Sus scrofa: one gene and its partners. The protein of the gene in region 2 interacts with the protein of the main gene of each other region in a biochemical or structural test. Links are inferred from orthologs where the notes say so. Each region holds a gene or a part of one and is shown on either strand. Other genes may lie near its edges.

What was found.
Region 1: the proteins of EGFR (region 2) and AREG form a complex in vitro, tested with the Homo sapiens proteins (2 studies listed by BioGRID and IntAct, with this or other methods). The link is inferred for Sus scrofa from reciprocal best matches to the Homo sapiens genes EGFR and AREG.
Region 3: the proteins of EGFR (region 2) and SH2D2A form a complex in vitro, tested with the Homo sapiens proteins (2 studies listed by BioGRID and IntAct, with this or other methods). The link is inferred for Sus scrofa from reciprocal best matches to the Homo sapiens genes EGFR and SH2D2A.
Region 4: the proteins of EGFR (region 2) and TNS4 form a complex in vitro, tested with the Homo sapiens proteins (2 studies listed by BioGRID and IntAct, with this or other methods). The link is inferred for Sus scrofa from reciprocal best matches to the Homo sapiens genes EGFR and TNS4.

Annotation. Positions count from the first base shown.
Region 1 is NC_010450.4:70,416,745-70,420,737, reverse strand, and holds the start of AREG (amphiregulin precursor), read right to left. Parts: upstream 2,804-3,993; 5' UTR 2,615-2,803; coding exon 2,554-2,614; intron 1,416-2,553; coding exon 1,185-1,415; intron 1-1,184.
Region 2 is NC_010451.4:139,301,083-139,305,214, forward strand, and holds the start of EGFR (epidermal growth factor receptor precursor), read left to right. Parts: upstream 1-1,327; 5' UTR 1,328-1,440; coding exon 1,441-1,528; intron 1,529-4,132. UniProt on the Homo sapiens protein: Receptor tyrosine kinase binding ligands of the EGF family and activating several signaling cascades to convert extracellular cues into appropriate cellular responses.
Region 3 is NC_010446.5:93,280,884-93,285,185, reverse strand, and holds the start of SH2D2A (SH2 domain-containing protein 2A), read right to left. Parts: upstream 2,804-4,302; 5' UTR 2,681-2,803; coding exon 2,647-2,680; intron 2,041-2,646; coding exon 1,880-2,040; intron 806-1,879; coding exon 633-805; intron 1-632. UniProt on the Homo sapiens protein: Could be a T-cell-specific adapter protein involved in the control of T-cell activation. May play a role in the CD4-p56-LCK-dependent signal transduction pathway. Could also play an important role in normal and pathological angiogenesis.
Region 4 is NC_010454.4:21,922,779-21,927,018, forward strand, and holds the start of TNS4 (tensin-4), read left to right. Parts: upstream 1-1,437; 5' UTR 1,438-1,512; intron 1,513-4,240. UniProt on the Homo sapiens protein: Promotes EGF-induced cell migration by displacing tensin TNS3 from the cytoplasmic tail of integrin ITGB1 which results in dissociation of TNS3 from focal adhesions, disassembly of actin stress fibers and initiation of cell migration.

The DNA.
Region 1 (3,993 bases), on a different chromosome or scaffold from region 2:
TTGGAACGTTAAGCCCTAGCCATTTTCACTACCAACAATGTGTTTGGCCTTTTGAAATGTTAACAACTTGAAATAGCTTTAAGAGAACCATTTCTAAGTCTTGATGGTCTAATCTCCTCCCTTCCCAAAATAAGAATTATAGACAGACTCCTTCCTCACCTTATAGAAGAGCATAAGCTCCAAAGGCAGATAACATGGAGTATTCAGTAAAACTCTCTCCACCTGCCTCTTCCTCCAGTCACTGTCCCTATGGTATCACCCTCTCTCCCTTCACCAGTTCTGGGAGCCAGAGAGAGGAGGAGGAGCCATGGAAACTAAGATCAGGAAAGAGAGGGCTGTAAGTCTTGCCTATGTAGTGGAGGCTCCTAGGATACTTAGATCTGATTTGCTGATGACCTGTTCTGCCCTCAAACTCCAAAGTAACATGAGGGTAACAAGACTGACCTCTTCCTTTGGTAACTTCCTTTTAAGCAAATGCTTTTTTAAAATGATCAGATAACAGCCAAAGAGAAGAAAACTATGGGTCACATTATTTAACTGACAAATGGGATTTGGGATTAAAGAGTGATTCTATCAATACATAATCCACGCATACTTGTCCTTCTTTTATTATTTCCAGAAGGTGGTATGACTATTATTATTACCAATTTCGCAACACCTTATCCTTAAAGGCTAAGGTCCAATCGTTCCTTTCCCATTACTTCTGTTCCCTTATTTGTGCTAAAAATGCAGTTATTTGGGGGGAAACGGTGGAGGGGAGTGAATATAAAACTTGAGATACAACATAGATAGGACTGGACCCTCATTTGAGGGTCACGTGGCAGGGTATGAAAGAGCATAGTATCTGGAATCAAACAGACTGGAGTCCTCATCCTGGCTCTGGAACACTGGGAAGAATGCTTAACCTTTCTGAGCTTCGGTTCTCACGTCTGTAAATGGATAACAACTCCCACTGAATAATGTTTTGCAAAGATTAGCCTTCCTAGACATAAAACGTTTGTTAGAGCTGCAGACATATAGGATGTGGCCACGAATAGCTCTTTCCATCTCAATTTAGCCAGTGGATCAGGAAAGAGAGGGCAAGAAAGCCACTAGGAGATCGGGGAGTGCTTTTCTTTTGAAGCAGCTTGTCTTATACAAACACACATCTCACTGGCTACATTGTCACCTTACCCTCTACTCACCTCTGACTGAATCATCTACAATATAGCCAGATATGTGCGGTTCGTTATCGTACTCTTCAGCATAGTCATAGTCGCTACCAGAAGGCATTTCGCTAGCAGGGGGAGCCTCACTTCCCGAGGACATCTCACTTCTGGAGGTCACCTCAAATGCCTCAGCACCATGGTCCCCAGAAAATGGTTCTCCTTTCCCAGAGGAGGTGCCGTTGACGTCCAGTCCAGCAGCATAATGGGCTATGGGAACAAGGGCAAAATGGAAGAGAAGATAAAGCAGAATGTCTTTTCTCCCCAGTCAGCAGAGCGCAGGAGCAGCGCGCAGGAGAAATGTTTATCTTTTGATAGCAAAGCAGTTATTGCACATGTGCTATTGTTTATGATTGAGTCACTTTATGAAAGCAACTTCACATTTTTGCCAAGAAGCAAACTCAGCTGTTCCAATGACAGAGCTTCTTTCATTAAGGTTTTCATTTCCATAGAGAATGTACATTAATTCCCACATCAAAAAAAAAAAAAAGAAAGAAAGAAAGAAAGAAACAAAATACTGCAGAAGAGGTAAATCAAGTTGCTACACTTATTTAACAGGTAATATCTAAACATTGCCATGACTTCACATATGAAATGCATTTGTGTTTGTTAGGATGCTACCTGTCCTATTTTAATAAACAGGTTCTAGAAATAAATACCGGGTTTTCTTAACATATGCTCACGTTTAAGAAGACTATGTACAGGAAATGTTAAAAAGTAATGAAAATAGAAATTGATTATAATTCTCCTTATTGCCACTGTTTATTACTGTTCTCACAAAGAGAAGAAACTAGAGATGAAGTTAAGATTTGGGGGCCAGAGTTTCAAGTCCCTGCTTTATCTTTTAGATCTAAACAAAACAGTGTCAAAGTGGTGCTTTTAACTTCTCTCTGGGACGATGCGAAACCCTCTAGAAAGGGAAAAAACAAAAGTACTTGACAGAGGAGATGGAGAATCGAGGCAGAAGGCTGCGCGTCTCCTTCCAGGATTTAACTACTCTACTCCAAAATCTGTGGAAATCACTTCACCTCTGGACGTCGGTTGGTTTCTTTATCGGTCAAGCGAAGGGTTGGCTCACAGGCTCTCTAAGCAGGAGATCCTTCAGCTGGACTAAAGTAAAAGTACAAGGAGTTTCCGGCCCCCTCTTGATGGCCTGGAACATCTAAGATACACCTGCCCACTCCCAGGGAGTAACGTACAGAGGGAGGGACCAAGGTCACCTCCCACCAGACAGAACCAGGGCCGCCAAATGGCGATTTTTTAGAGAATCAGCAGCAAAATTCAAGGAGCGACCGTTTTGCCCCGGCTGGGAGAAGTGCTCAGCAGCTCAGAGCCGGGATGTCCTCACCTGAGCAGAGGATCAAGAGTGACAGCACCACGGGCGCCGGCGGCAGCAGCGGAGCTCTCATTGGTCCCGCGGAGCTGTGGCGTCGCGGTCTCTGGGGCAACTCGGCCGGGAGCTGCGGGCGGGCGGGAGGAGGTGACCGGGGACCAGGGGCGCCGAGCAGCTGTGCTCAGAGGCCCGGCCGGGCTCGGGCGCTGGAGGCAGCGCCTGGAGCTCGCCTCGGGATTCCCTGGGCTCCGGCTCCCGCACAAGGTGTGCGAACATTCCGGAGGCGCGGCGCGCACCAGTGGCTTTATAGGCCGGGCGGGACCCGGGCATCGCCCGTGACGTCACGGTCGCCGCGGAGGGTGGAGGCGGGCGGCCGCCCCAGGACAGGTTACTACCCCAAAACCACAAACGGATGCCAGGCGCCCCACCTCCTCGGAGCGCAGAGAGCCGCTGGGAGGAAGTGAAAATGAAGACCCTTGCTGCCGGCTGGGGAAAAAAAAAAAAAGACCAATTCTTATTTGAGAGCAAGGGTGGAGTTGCAAGCTAATATCTGACATTCAGAAATCCCAAATTTTCAAACTATCTGGAGGAAAAAAAAAAAAAAACCTTCAGATTATGCTTTGGTTGATCTGAATATTACAACAGACAGGGATTAACTAGAAAATTTCCTATTAAAATATAAAATTACTTAAAGCCCAAGAGTGACTTAACAAGGAAAGCCCCACCCCATGTCTTTAATGCGAATAATGACGTTTATTCCATGACTAGAGAGCCATGCCTCCTAAGGAGAAGCTGTTTTGTATACCATGGGCCTGGATCTCAACCCTGGAGATTCCCCTCCACTACTGTGAAGCAGCCTGCATTTCCAATCATCTCCCTCCCCATTTATCCCATTTCTTTATATAACCTAGGGTCCTTGTCAAAATGATAGTTTATTGATCATTAATTTATGTTGTGGAACTGTACACTAAGCATATTACCTACACCAGGTCACTCCAGAACCTTGCTAGGCAAGTATCATTTTTTTCTATGTTTTACAAGAGGGACACCTGTCAGCTTTACCAAGCAAGGAGTACTTTACCCCGCTGGTCATGGCAAAAGCCAGATGGACCTAACTTCGAGTTCCACTGACTCTAAAATCTCTTTCCTCTCTGATAAAGGGATTTAGGCTAAACTTCTCTTTGGAAAGAAAGTTTCTGGGGAGAACAATAGTTAGCCTACAGGAGTAATCTCTACTGGTAGTGTGTTGGCATGAAGGGTAGTGCCCAAGAGTTTGCCTCTGCAATCCCCAGATAAAAGGGCCAGATTTTAGTGCCTATTTAGAATCTAGTAGGACATTTTAATCATGACAAGTAGATAAAATGAGAGGGAGAGAATTGCTTCATTTGACTAAGTTTGATGTATCTACAATTCCAGAACTGGATTTTTCTTGACTTGAGGAAGAGGAAAAAAGCA
Region 2 (4,132 bases):
AGACACACCCTGGCTGCGTCCTCTGCCCACTGCTGTCACTTTGGTGCCCTTCTCTAGCAGGTGGCGCTTTTCTTTACAGACCATTTCTGCCTTCGTTTGAAGAGCGTGGAGGGACCAAAGCCATGGCCTGCAGAACCTACAAAGCCTTCTTCATCCTTAAATGGATGAAGGGACTTCCTTAAAACAAAGAAACAAACACAAATGATTCTCATCTTAAAGTTCCACGGACCCAATGCTCGGTAAGGAAAGATGCAAAGCTTTGCTCCCCCACATGTAGGAAAGGCCCTGCTTTAGCTCCACTTACTGCAGGTTTATGATTCCTGCTTAAAAGGTGGGGCCAACCAGAGCTGAAGGCCCGCGAGAAGTCACAATGGGTCTTGTGGGAGAGGGAGTCGGCTGTAGACAGGCAGAAGACATCTGTCCTGAAGGAGGAGGAGGAGTAGGGCAGGGCGGGCTTTGCTGGAAGCATTTAGCTAAAACCTTCCTGCAGCCCGAGAAAGCCGGCTTTCTTCTGGCCGAATCCTGAGTAGGTTTCCCCGGCTTTTCTCCTGTCAGAGTTGCAGCGTGGTTGTCTTCAGGCAGGGGGGCCCACAGCTAGTGTGTGTGCTAAGCCTTTATTCTAAGTGCTTGACTTTTTTGAAGTGATTTCCTGCAATCATTCGTCTTTCAAGTACTGCTCGCTGGTGCACGGCCCATGAAATGCTGCGGGCTCCTTTGGTGCCTATGCATTCACTCAACAAACATTTCCCCAAGGCCAGAATCTGTGCTAGAGGTGGGAGTCCTTATTTCAGATGATTTCAAGGGTGCTTGACGGGACCTGAAGGACCCTGGGACTTGAGTGCATCTCAGAGGCCAGGGGGCGCCTCTGCCGCCAGGCCAGCCTCTGACCCGCCCTGGGATCCCGAGGTGCTCAGAGAAGTTGGGGCCACAATTAAACAGTGGTCTCCCCCGCTGGGCCAGCATCCGGCCTTGGGCAGAAGGCTCGGTCTGCTCCGCGCCGGGACACGTCTGCTCTGCAACTTGGAGGACGGCGGAGGGGAATGGGCAACCCGGGGGCAAAGGTGGCTCCAGGAAGGTCAGGTCGCCAGCAGCAGGCAAGTGGGCGAGGACCTGCCCTGCCGGCGGGGCAGCGCGGGGCAGTCCTCCCGGGGCTCGGCTCCGCAGCCCGCTCCCGCGCGGCGCTCCTCCCGCTGTCGCCTCCTCCGCCCCGCGCGCCGCCCGCCCCTCCTCCCGGTCCCTCCTCCTCGAGCCCGGCCTCCCCGCGCCCCCGCCCCCGCCCCCGCGAGCCAGACGTCCGGGCGGCCGGCGCAGCGCGCAGCCTCCGCCCCGGCTCGGAGCTCACGCCCGCGGCCCGCGCGATCCCCGTCCGCTCCGGCCGCCGAGCCCGCGCCCCGCGCCCCGGCCATCGCTGCGTCCCGACCGAGCGCCGAGCCCCGCGCGATGCGACGCTCCTGGGCGGGCGGCGCCGCGCTCCTGGCGCTGCTGGCCGCGCACTTCCAGGCGAGTCCGGCGCTGGAGGAGAAGAAAGGTAGGGGCGACCGCGCCGCCGTCCCGCCCGTCCTCAGGCGGCCGCGCAGCCTCGGGCGCGGCGGGCCGAGGAGCCCGAGCGCCGCTTCCCTTCCGCCCTCCCGGCCCCCGCGGGGTGGACGCCCCGGCGAGCGCGTCCCCGCACGTGCGCCCGCGGTGCGCCGGGCTGGGGGGCGGCGCAGGCGGGACGCGGGGCCCGTGCCCGGACCCCGGGACCCGAGCGGCCCTCCGCGCCCGGCCCCGCACCCGCGCCCCACGCCGGAGCCAGCTCCCCGACCCCTCTCCTGGCGCGGCCTTGACCCAGAGGCTCGAGAGCTCGTTCCGGGCACTGGCCACCTGCGCTTCGGGACCGGGAGGCCAGAGGTCCTCCGGCCCCACCGCCCCTCCGCGTCCCGCAGCGCCTCCCGCCGTCCGCATCCCTCGGGCGGCGAGTAGCCACTTCCCGGGACTCCCGAGATTTGTCCCCTCTTGCAGCCCTTGGGCGGCGTGTCCGCGCTTCGCAGTGGAAGGGACGGGGCGGTGGGAGCGGCCGCGGCAGGAGGGCCAGTTCTGGGGCGAACGGTCCAGGGGCGGGACGCATCCGGGCCGGCCGGGTCCCCACAGTTTCAAAATATGGCTCACAGCAAGCGTTCCTCCTCAAAATCTAGAGATTTCTCTCTCTGGGATGTGTCTTTTAGCTTTTTGAAGAATTTGACATCAGGCCAACCAAAATATTAAACTTTAAAAAAAAAAAAAACCGGATTGATGTCCGTGGTTCACGTGGGCCAAATGTCCAGACCAAACATGAGCGAGTCTGGCTTCGTGACTACCGACCATAAACCCACTTGACATGAGAAACATGCCTGAGAAGGTTTAATTGCACAATTTCAGACTCAAGCAGCCGGGGTTCCAAGAGTCAGGTCTGTACTTGCTGTTGATGTCACTGGCACAGCGAGACAGGGTTTGGTGCTGAGTGCGATGGTGGGGGGAGCAGTAAGTCCTAAAGCAGTGCACCCCAAACTTGGCTGCAAATTAGAATCGGTTGGGATTTAAAACGAAACAAGACACCTTGTCTGGCTCCCACCCCCAGACTGCCTAATTTCACTGGTCTGGGATGAGACTGAGGCATCTGGATTTTGAAAAGCTCCTCAGGTGCTTCTGCTGGGCAGCCAGGCGTGGATCTCACTGGCCATGGAGGTGAAATCCCTGAAGTGATTACCTGCAAGGGTCAAAAGCTCTTTCAGAACCACTGGAGTTTTAACAACCTTGCAAAATATGGGAAAGAGGAGGTGAGGGATGGTATGAGTGACCAGGCATATGCCTCTTTTCACTGAAAGCGTCTCCTGACGGGTCTCGAGGCCCTGCTGCTCCCTGCTGTGAGCCCAAGGCTGTGGTCCTGCTCCTGAGATAGTTGACCGCAGGGTCCTTTGAGCAGCAGGGGCCCTGCTGCTCCCTGCTGTGAGCCCCAGGCTGTTGGGGGTGGGGGCATCCTTATTTTAAATTAAAGTGTTGGAGCATCTCCAAAGCACCACCTTTCTCCAGAAGAGCCCGCAGCTCTCCGCTGGTACCCCTTTGAACACTGCTGTTACCGCTTGGAGATTTGTTTCTAAGAAAAATATAAATACCACTTAATTTGCCTGTTAATCCCGTATTTGTTTAAAACAGAATGCTCCTGAATAGAATAGTGGGATTAGATGAACAAATGTCATTGGGCTAAAGTAAATAAGATGACCAAGTAGGGCAAAATATTAACCCAAAGTGTGAAAGACCCATGTCAGTCACATTTGGTCAGCTTTGTTCTAGAGAATTTACTCATTTTAGAGAGATCTGTTTGGTTCTAAGATGTAGTGTCTTTGTTCTCACTGCACTTGGTCCTGCCAGACGCTGTTTTAAGTTTCCTTTGAGTCCTCACAAACCATACGAGGTGGGTCCTCTCTAGTCTGTGGGGAAACCCAGGTCTGGGAAGTAAAGCGACTTTTCCAAGGCCAGCAAGAGGCAGAACCCGGATTCACACTCAGGCCTCTGGCCTCCCAGAGGCTCCCCTGCCACCTGACTGCGATGCCTTGTGGGTTCTGATCTCTGGAGCCCTGCCGTGTGTGTGTGTGTGTGTGTGTGTGTGTGTGTGTGTGTGTGTGTGTGTGTGTGAGAGAGAGAGAGAGTGAGTGTATGTGTCGGGGGTGGGGGGAGATGGGGATGCCGCCCTCCTGCCGTTGGGACCCCTCTCCTGGCACTTGGGAGGCGCCTGTGGAGGAGCTCAGTCACAGCGAGGAGCTGGGAGACGCTGGGGGGGTGTTGAGCAAGCCCCTCGCTCTAGCAAAGCTGAGGGTGAAGGTGCTGCTGCGGCAGTGACCTTGGGTGGGATTCCACCTGGGCAGGCCCTCCTTTTAGGACATCCGTGTGCCGTGGGTCTGGGCTGTGTTGAAGAGGACCTGCTCGGGGGCTTTGAATGGTATCCAGAGAGAACCCTCCTTCCTCTGAGAAGCCCGGACCTGAGGACGCCCATCAGGACAGGCCGGGAGCCCAGGGGCCCGGGGCCGGGCTCTTGCTTGGTATGATGTGGACGCGTCCCTCGCCAGCTCTGGGTCCTTATTTCTCAATTCAGTGGCTATTTACTGAGTGCAGGGCA
Region 3 (4,302 bases), on a different chromosome or scaffold from region 2:
AAGGTGGGAAGATAGAGGAGAGGGCTGGAGAGAGCCAGAGGTAAAGATGCATGGAGGTGTTCCGGACATGGCTCAGTGGTTAACGAATCCGACTAGGAACCGACTCGGTTCGATCCCTGGCCTTGCTCAGTGGGTTAAAGATCCGACGTTGCCTTGAGCTGTGCTGTAGGTCACAGATGCAGCTCGGATCCCGCGTGGCTGTGGCTGTGGCTGTGGCTGTGGCGTGGGTTGGCCGCTACAGCTCTGATTAGACTCCTAGCCTGGGACTCTCCATATGCCGCGGGATCGGTCCTAGAAAAGGCAAAAAGACCAAAAAAAAAAAAAAAAAAATATATATATATATATATATGCATGGAGAGAGAGCCTGAGGCGGAGGTGGAAACTGTGAACATGAGAAGCCTCAGAGACAGGAGGAAGGTTGAGCCTAGAAGGGGCAAACCGAGGCATAGGATGGGGGCTTGCGCTGGAGCCTCTCCAATGATCTCCCGCAGGAGAGCTACCCTAGTAAACAGCCTTTGAACCTCCAGAATTCATAGCCTGGGCTTGTAGCTGCAATCTGCTCCTGATTGACCGCAGGACTCAGGACTGGCCCCCTGCCCTTCTCTGAGCCTGTTTCTTCCTCTGTGACTCACCTCCGGGTGATGAAGCCGTGGAACCAGGCAGGGGCTTCCCCGTGCTGCAGGAGCTCATGGGCCTGGGTCTTCTGGAACCAAGCCAGAGTCTCTGCCTGTAGGGACAAGGCTTCTTCTCTAGGCATCTCTTCAGCCTTCCCAATGTCTTTTGGGCTGCACGTAGCGCCTGGGGCCTGGATAGAGGAGGAGTTCAAGGAAGGGGAAGAAGCCATGAATAGTGGTCCTTCTCCTGACGGGCCAGGTGGCAGCTGGCTCCTGGATGAAGCCAGCTGTCACCTTCTCATACCTAGCCCCTCCTGGATATGTGGAGAAAGTCACCCCTCATCCCAGTGGCCTATTCTAGGGTGTAATTGCCCAGAAAGTTCTAACTTAAATCTCTTCTTCAGCTCCAGCTGTTTTTTTTTTTTTTTTCTTCTTTCTTTTCTTTTTCTTTTTCTTTCTTTACCTTTTTAGGGCCACTCATTAGGCATATGGAAGTTCCTGGGTTCGGTGTTGAATCAAAGCTGCAGTTGCAGGCCGACGTCACAGCCCCAGCAATGCCAGATCTGAGCCACATCTGCAACCTATGCCTCGGCTTTCGGCAAGACCAGATCCTTAACCCACTGAACGTGGCCAGGGATTGAACCCACATCTTCATGGATGCTAGTTGGGTTTTTAACCCACTGAACCACAATGGGGACACCAGCTCCAGCTGTTTTTGTTTCCAGGGAGTTTCCTTCCACTCTGTCTGGGGCCTGTGGGCCTTTTTGGTGCAGTAGCTGTGAGCTATTAAACTGTGCTTAACGGGAGGTGAGGCCTTCCAGATGGACAGAAAGTCCTTCCCTGGCCTAAGGAATGAAGGGAAGGAACTCCAGAGGCCAGAATGAGGGAGGGCTCACCCTCCATTAGGAGGGACCGAGCTGGGCAGATTTCCCAGTGAAAGGAGGGCAGAGAAAGACTGAGATAAGGCTGTCCTGGCCAAATGAAGGCAATGGACAGAGCTGCAGGTGTGCAAGTTTCTGGAACTCAAATCATTGTACCCTGGTCACTTGTGGACACACCCTGAGCTCCCCAGGGACAGAGGAGCAGTGAGTGGACCATTCAGCACCTGAAGGAGGCCCTCCCCCTCTCCTTTCCCTCCCTCTGTACCCTTGGCCTTGTCGGCAGCCCCAGCTCATTCCTGCCTTGGCCTTTGTCTATCTGCAAGTCCTCAAGTTGGGAGAGTGGGAGCCGAGGAGGGAGCTGCCCCCCCCCAGGTTCCGACTCACCGCCACGTGGACAGTCGGGGCCCTGGGGCTGGGCTGGGCTTCTTCGGCCTTCGGGGCCTGGAGTCTGGGTCCCGGAAGCGAACCCAGGCCCTGGCAGCTCCGGCGGTTCAAGTCCATGGGCTGGAAGGTGCTGAAGGTTACAGCGGGGGCTTCTCGACTCCCTGTTAGCACAGAGAGCTTTCTCAGTGATGGCCGGCCTTTCTGTTGCCCATTCCTCCCTTCAGAGGGACCCCGTGGACCTCTCGCTGGGGGACTGGGGAGTGCCCCTAGGACAGGGACAGTCATGACAGCAGGAGAGATGCAGGAGGGATGCTGAGGTGATTTCTTAGGGAGGAGTAAGGAGCCAAGAGGGTGCAGAGGGCCAAGGCGGCAGAGGGGCTTGTCAGAGAAACTGGGTGCTGGGCAGGAGAGCTGGGAAGCCAGCCAGCCCTCCGATGGCCCGACGTCCCAAAATCTGGGCAGGGAGGCAGATCTCTTCAGGGCAGGTCTGTCTTCTGGCCCAGAATCCCCTGCCCCTTGTCCCCCTTCCTCCTCCCGTTGCCCTCCCCTCCTCTCTAAGGAGCACTCAGCAGACTCTGTCATCTTTATCCTCAGGGCTGCGGGGACCCGGAGCCCCCGAGGAGTAACAGGGGTTGTGAGCCACTTGCCAGCCAGCCCTGCCAGCTCTGGGCCCTAAAGTGGGAGCTAGGGCCAGCGGGGAGAGAGCAGGGATCATGGGGGGGGGTCTTGATATCTCCCCCACCCACGTTCTCCAACTTCACACTTACCTTGGGCGCCTATCTGGGCCAGGGGGAGCTCCATGGGGGCAGCCTAGCAGAGGAGCCCCTAGAGCAGGGTGTGTGTGCGGGCTCTCAAAAGGTGTGCACACTCAGCAAGTCATCCCTCCTCTCACCCAGCCCCTCCGGGGGCAGGAAATGTCGCCTCACCCACAGCCCCAGCCCTCTCGCAGGACTCGCGTCATGGAAAGCCGTAAGACGGTCGCCCCACCCCCGGAAGCCAGGCAGCTGAAGGTGGTGGGGTGCGGTGAGTATTTGTGTCATTCTGTGTCTGGGTCCTTGCTGCTGTCTTATCTCCATCCCCTCTCCACGCCCTCAGTCCAGACTGGGACTTCCCTTTCTGTCCCTCTCTCGGTCCCTCTGTCTCCCTCTCTCTCTCTGAGCAGTGGCAGTGGTAAGGTCAACCTCAGAAGGACAAGCCTGATGAGGTGATGGGGCTTCGGAGTCATCGAAGATTCAGACTCAGGACTGTGCTCTTAGGACGCACATGGAGGGAAGGGAGCAGAGCTGCAACACGAAGAATGTGGGTCAGACTTTTGAAGGACTTTCTGAGGTCATATGGAATCTGTGAGACACAGGGGTGAGGAGGAGGGAGCCTGGCTTCATCCTCAAGCAGATGATGGGTTGGCGGGAGCTGGGTTAGGATATAACTAGGCAATTCCAGAGAAAGGGAGTGGGGATTTCCTCCAACGAAGTGGGTCGTTATTAGCAGCAAGATGATGGGCAGTTGTTATTTAAGGACTTCAGTGCTGATGTCTTAAACCTGCAGTGTGCTTGCTTCCCCTGTCACCCCCAAGGACCAATCCCGTTTCTCTCCAGAGAGATCCGCACACATGAGAAGAAGACAGGGAACATTAATTATCCCCATTTGCCAGGAGGGTAAGCTGAAGCTCAGAGAAGTTACATGCCTTAGCCAGGGGCTTTCAGGGTCTCGGCTGTTGATGGTGGAGCTGGGACTAGAATCTAGCTCTTCTTTTCCACATTTCACTGCGATTTAGGCCAACAGTCTTGAGAGCCCAGAGAGAAAAAGGATCTTGTCTCAAGGTGTCAAGAAGGGGGAATGGGGAGTTCTCATCGTGGTTCAGTGTTAACGAATCCGACTAGGAACTACGAGGTTGTGGGTTTGATCCCTGGCCTCGCTCAGTGGGTTAAGGATCTGGCGTTGCCGTGAGCTGTGGTGTAGGTCACAGACGTGGCTCAGATCCTGAGTTGCTGTGGCTCTGGTGTAGGCTGGTGGCTACAGCTCCAATTCAACCCATAGCCTGGGAACTTCCATATTCTGTGGGTGTGGCCCTGGAAAAGGCAAAAAAAAAAAAAAATCCTGCATTGGTTACCACTTCAAAACAAGTTGCAAAGAGAAACATCCAGGTACCTGACATGCATTTTCACTTGAGGGCTTTCTCCATACAGGGTGCAAGGTGAAACCACTCTTTGGAGTAACCTACAGAAGGAAGAAAGGGGGAGGTACTGATCTTCCCTGCTCCCTCAGTGTTCCCACTTCCCATTGGTTAGGACGATCCCCTAGGACCCGACTTAGACGCTGCATCCCTTGTACCTTGGTATCCACTCAGGAAGCCAAATCGCATGGTGTGGTGGTTGATATTAATCAAAAATGGAGGGGAGGAGTTCCTGCCATGGCACAATGTG
Region 4 (4,240 bases), on a different chromosome or scaffold from region 2:
AGAAAAAAGAGGCGTTCCCGTCGTGGTGCAGTGGTTAACGAATCCAACTAGATACCATGAGGCTGCAGGAACCATGAGGCTGCGGATTCGATCCCTGGCCTTGCTCAGGGGGTGAAGGATCTGGTGTTGCCGTGAGCTGTGGTGTAGGTCTCAGACGAGGCTCAGATCCCGCGGTGCTGTGGCTCTGGTGTAGGCCGGCGGCTACAGCTCCGGTTAGACCCCTAGCCTGGGAACCTCTATATGCCTCGGGAGCGGACCTAGAAAAGGCAAAAAGACAAAAAAAAAAAAGGAGCCCTTTCACTGGGCTTAATGCTGGCACTGGGCAGCTCATGCACACCCGAGATTAACCACTGCGGAGATCATTGTGAGTCCCTGGGCTGGAGACTTTGCCGGTCCCTTTGCTTCAGGCCACCCTGCCCAGATGGGGCCCAGCTTGACCACCAGTGCCCCTGGATGTCCCCTCAAAACGCCCTGGGACCCTTGGCACAAAACAAGGAGGGAGTTGGAGCCCGGGAGACAGAATGCCTGGGCTTCTACTGTCGCTCCCACAAGGAACATCCTCCAGATGGTGCTAAGGGATAGTGCTTGAGAGAATGAATGAAGTTGAGCAAGGCTTTGGGCCCTTCTCAAAGCCCTCCAGCCCTCAGAGCCCACGCCCGCCTTCAGTGCAAAGCTCATCCCCAGGCGAAGAATGAAAGGCAAGGTCTGGAGTTCCCGCGGCGGCTCAGTGGAAGCAAACCCAACTAATATCCCTGAGGACACGGGTTCCATCCCTGACCTCACTCAGTGGGTTAAGGATCCGGCGTTGCCATGCGCTCTGGCTCAGCTTGGATTCCGCATTGCTGTGGCTGTGGTGTAGGCCAGCAGCTGCAGCTCTGATTCGACCCCTAGCCTGGGACTTTCCATGTGCTGCAAATGCAGCCCAAAAAGAAAAAAAAAAGAAAAGACCATGTCTGTGCCCAGTCTTAGTTCCAGTGGGCCCCTACCCTGTGCCTGCTGCAGTGTGACCCAGCCCAGAGAGCAGAGGAGGGGCCTGTGGGGAGGGTCTCCTGCTCACTGGCCTCCTGCCGCCCCAAGGCCAAGGCCTGGGCCTCATTGTCTGCTAGCCCTGCCAGCCCCAGGTCCCTCCCCTGGCTGGCACACTGGTGAAGGGAATGGCCCTAACAGGGCCTTGTCCAAGCAGGAGTCCCCCCCTCCCAGGCACCATGTGCTGGGAGGGTATGGGAAGCAGGAAGCTTGGGAGACCCCCACCCCACAATCTGGCCCCAGCGCCCACCAGGCCAGGCTCCCACCCAAGCGCTTCCCTTCCCCCGCCGGTGCCGCCCCACCTGAGCTCCTCCAGACACCCGGGTGGGGCCCGCGGTCAGGCCACGTGCAGGACCGCGTGGGGCGGAGGGAGGGCGGGGCCGCCCGGCTGCTCTTAAGGCGGGGCCAGGCCTTGCAACTCACCTGGGCGCTGACGCCCTGTCCCGGAGCCTGGAGTGCACACAGCCGTGCCGCCCTGGACACCAGGTAGGTGCCTTTCTTCCTGGAGAAGAGCGGGAGGCTCAGCACCTTCCCCCAGCCTTTGTCTCAGCCCCTCCACTTCTGCTGGGGCCCGAAGGGAAGGTGGAGAGAAATGGGGAGGGGGCTGAGCCCGAGAGGAAGATGTTCCCTCGGGACCCAGGGCAGCACTTGGGGAGAATGAAAGCTGTAGCCTCAGTTACAGATGAAAGAACCGAGGTCCAGAGAGGGGCAGAGGCTTGCTGGGGGGTCCCCAAGACGCAGCACCCAGCTTCCTGCCTCGCAGCCCAGAGTGCCCCCACAATGGGGTCTGGCCCTGAGCTCCCTGCGGGGCCCTTCAGAGGCCACTGGGAATCCAGGAGATGGGGACATGGCCTTCGCTGGTCCTGTGGGTCCCTGCCTGCGGTCCCCGGGTCTGCCTCACTGGATCTGGGAGGGGAACGAGGGGGTGGAGCTATTGAGGCAAGGTGCATGGGGGAGACTCGGGCCTCCCCCTCTGCCACCCTGTCTGTCTGCTGACCTGGGCTTGTAGGAAGGAAAGACTAAGTCCAGGAGAAGCTGGTAGTGAAACGGACAAGGGGGGTTGCCAAGGAATCAGGATGCCCCTGCCTCCAGAGAGCTTGGGAACAAAGGGAGAGATGGGAGTCCAGTGGGTGGGCAGGACTCTAAATAGGTCTGAGCTGCCTGAAGCCCTCCTTACCCACAGCCCGCCAGCATCCACACAGACTGAGCCCAGCGACCCTCCCCTCACCCTTAGAGCAGAAAGGAAAGAGCTAGAAAGTGCGCTGGTGGGGACAGGAGAGGAAGGTGTCAGGAAATAAAGGAGTGAGAACAGCCTTGCCTAGGGAGAGCCAGTGGTGCTTCAGGGAGTGTTCAAAGTGGGAAGGGTTTGGAGTTCCCTGGTGGCTAAGTGGGTTAAGATCCAGCATCGTCCCTGCTGTGACTGGGGTCACTGCTACGGTGTGGGTTCAATCCCTGGCCCAGGGAACTTCCGCATGCCGTGGGTGCGGCCAAAAAAAAAAAAGTGAGAAGACAGTGGGTTAAGGATCTGGCATTGCCGTGAGCTGCAGCAGAGGTCACAATTTCGGCTCGGATCCCACGTTGCTGTGGCTGTGGCGTAGGCTGACAGCTGCAGTTCCCATTCACCCCCTAGCTGGGGAAGTTGCATGTGCTGCAGGTCGGCCTGAAAACAGCAAAAAGAAAAAAAGTGAGAAGAGTTTAAAGAAAAGCTTGAGGGGCCGCCTGCCCTTTGCTTAATCCCAAGCCTGGTCCCCTGGGTTCCAGAATCCCAGAAGCAGAGAGAGGCTTAGATCTTAAATCTACAAAGTGGTGGCAGAGATTGTGGGTCTTGGAGCCAAGACCATGTGGGTTCAAGTCCAGGTCCACTGACAGGTTCTGTGGGTTGTATGACTTTAGATCAATCCCTTAGCCTCTCCAGCCCCACAGTAAGAGTACCTTCTTCAGAGAACCATTGAGAAATTAAAATGAGCATGTTTTATGTGTCTGTTATTATCATATTCCCATTATACAGATGGGACAACTGAGGCCCAGAGAGGAAAGGACACTCGCCCAGGGTGGTACAAAAGCCGTTTCCAAATCAGTAGACAGACATCCTCGATCCTGGTCCTGAGGGAGGACCCAGGCCCCAGGGTGCTCCTCAAAATCTGTATCCCAAGGCTGCTCTGCAGCGCCCAGCCGAAAACCCTCCAGGGTGCTCCACGATCCTGCCCCGACAAACCCAGGCCACTTGGAGCGTGTGGGGAAAAAGCCAAAGCTCCGTGTCCTCAGCTGCCCCCAGGAAGGCGCTCAGCATCTATTCCCTTCCACTGCCATTTATAGACACGCTTCCAGAGGGGGGCATGTCCAGGACCTGGCCAAGCACGAGGCTGACAGCAGGGCAGGCAGGAACTTCGGAGGAGGAGAGGGTTCTGGCTTTTCTCATTAACCTATTGTGTGACCTTGGGCAAGTCACACCCCCTCTCTGGACCTCATGTGTCCTTCCGCATTTGAACTCCCTGTGGTATAAGGAGATAAGAGTCTAAAGTCCAAGCCTGGGTTCGAATCCCTGCTCTAGCACTTTTCTGGACATGCGGCCAATGCAAATTGCTTAACCTCTCTGAATCTCAGTATCTTCCTCTGTCAAATGGGCTGCTAATGGGGGTGCAGTACTTCCCAGGGTTACTAGAAGGTTAAAAGGGTTACCATAGATAAAATCAGTGCCTGGCACATGGTGAGCGCTGAATAAAGGGGAGCGCTTCGTCTCGAGTATTATGAAGGTGTTATATTCTACTTAAGCTCTTATTTCTAAGTAGTGCTTAGATGCGTCCAACTGCTTCCACAAGCAGCACCTCACTGGTGTGACATCACTCTCTCTGAAGCTACAGGGCAGGGATTCTTCGTCCCATTTCACAGATGAGAAAACTGAGGGTCAGAGTTATGTTTGAGCTGGGATTTGAATCCTAATCCCCAGACTCTGAAGTTCCTAATCATTTCATTTGCCCCAGGCTGATCTCACTGCCTTTTCCAGCACCAGGGTCTGACTCTAAAGCAGGATGTGAGAGAGGCATCTTGGAAAAAGAGAGAAGCAGAGTTGGGCAGTGCTGGGGGGTGAGGGGTAGTGAGGCTCAGGGCAGGCAGTGGCAGCGCCACCGGCGTGTCCTTACAGTTTTCTTGGCAGCCTCTGTTCCAGAACCAGCTTACTTCCTACCCAACCCCCACTCCATAAGAAACCGCTAAC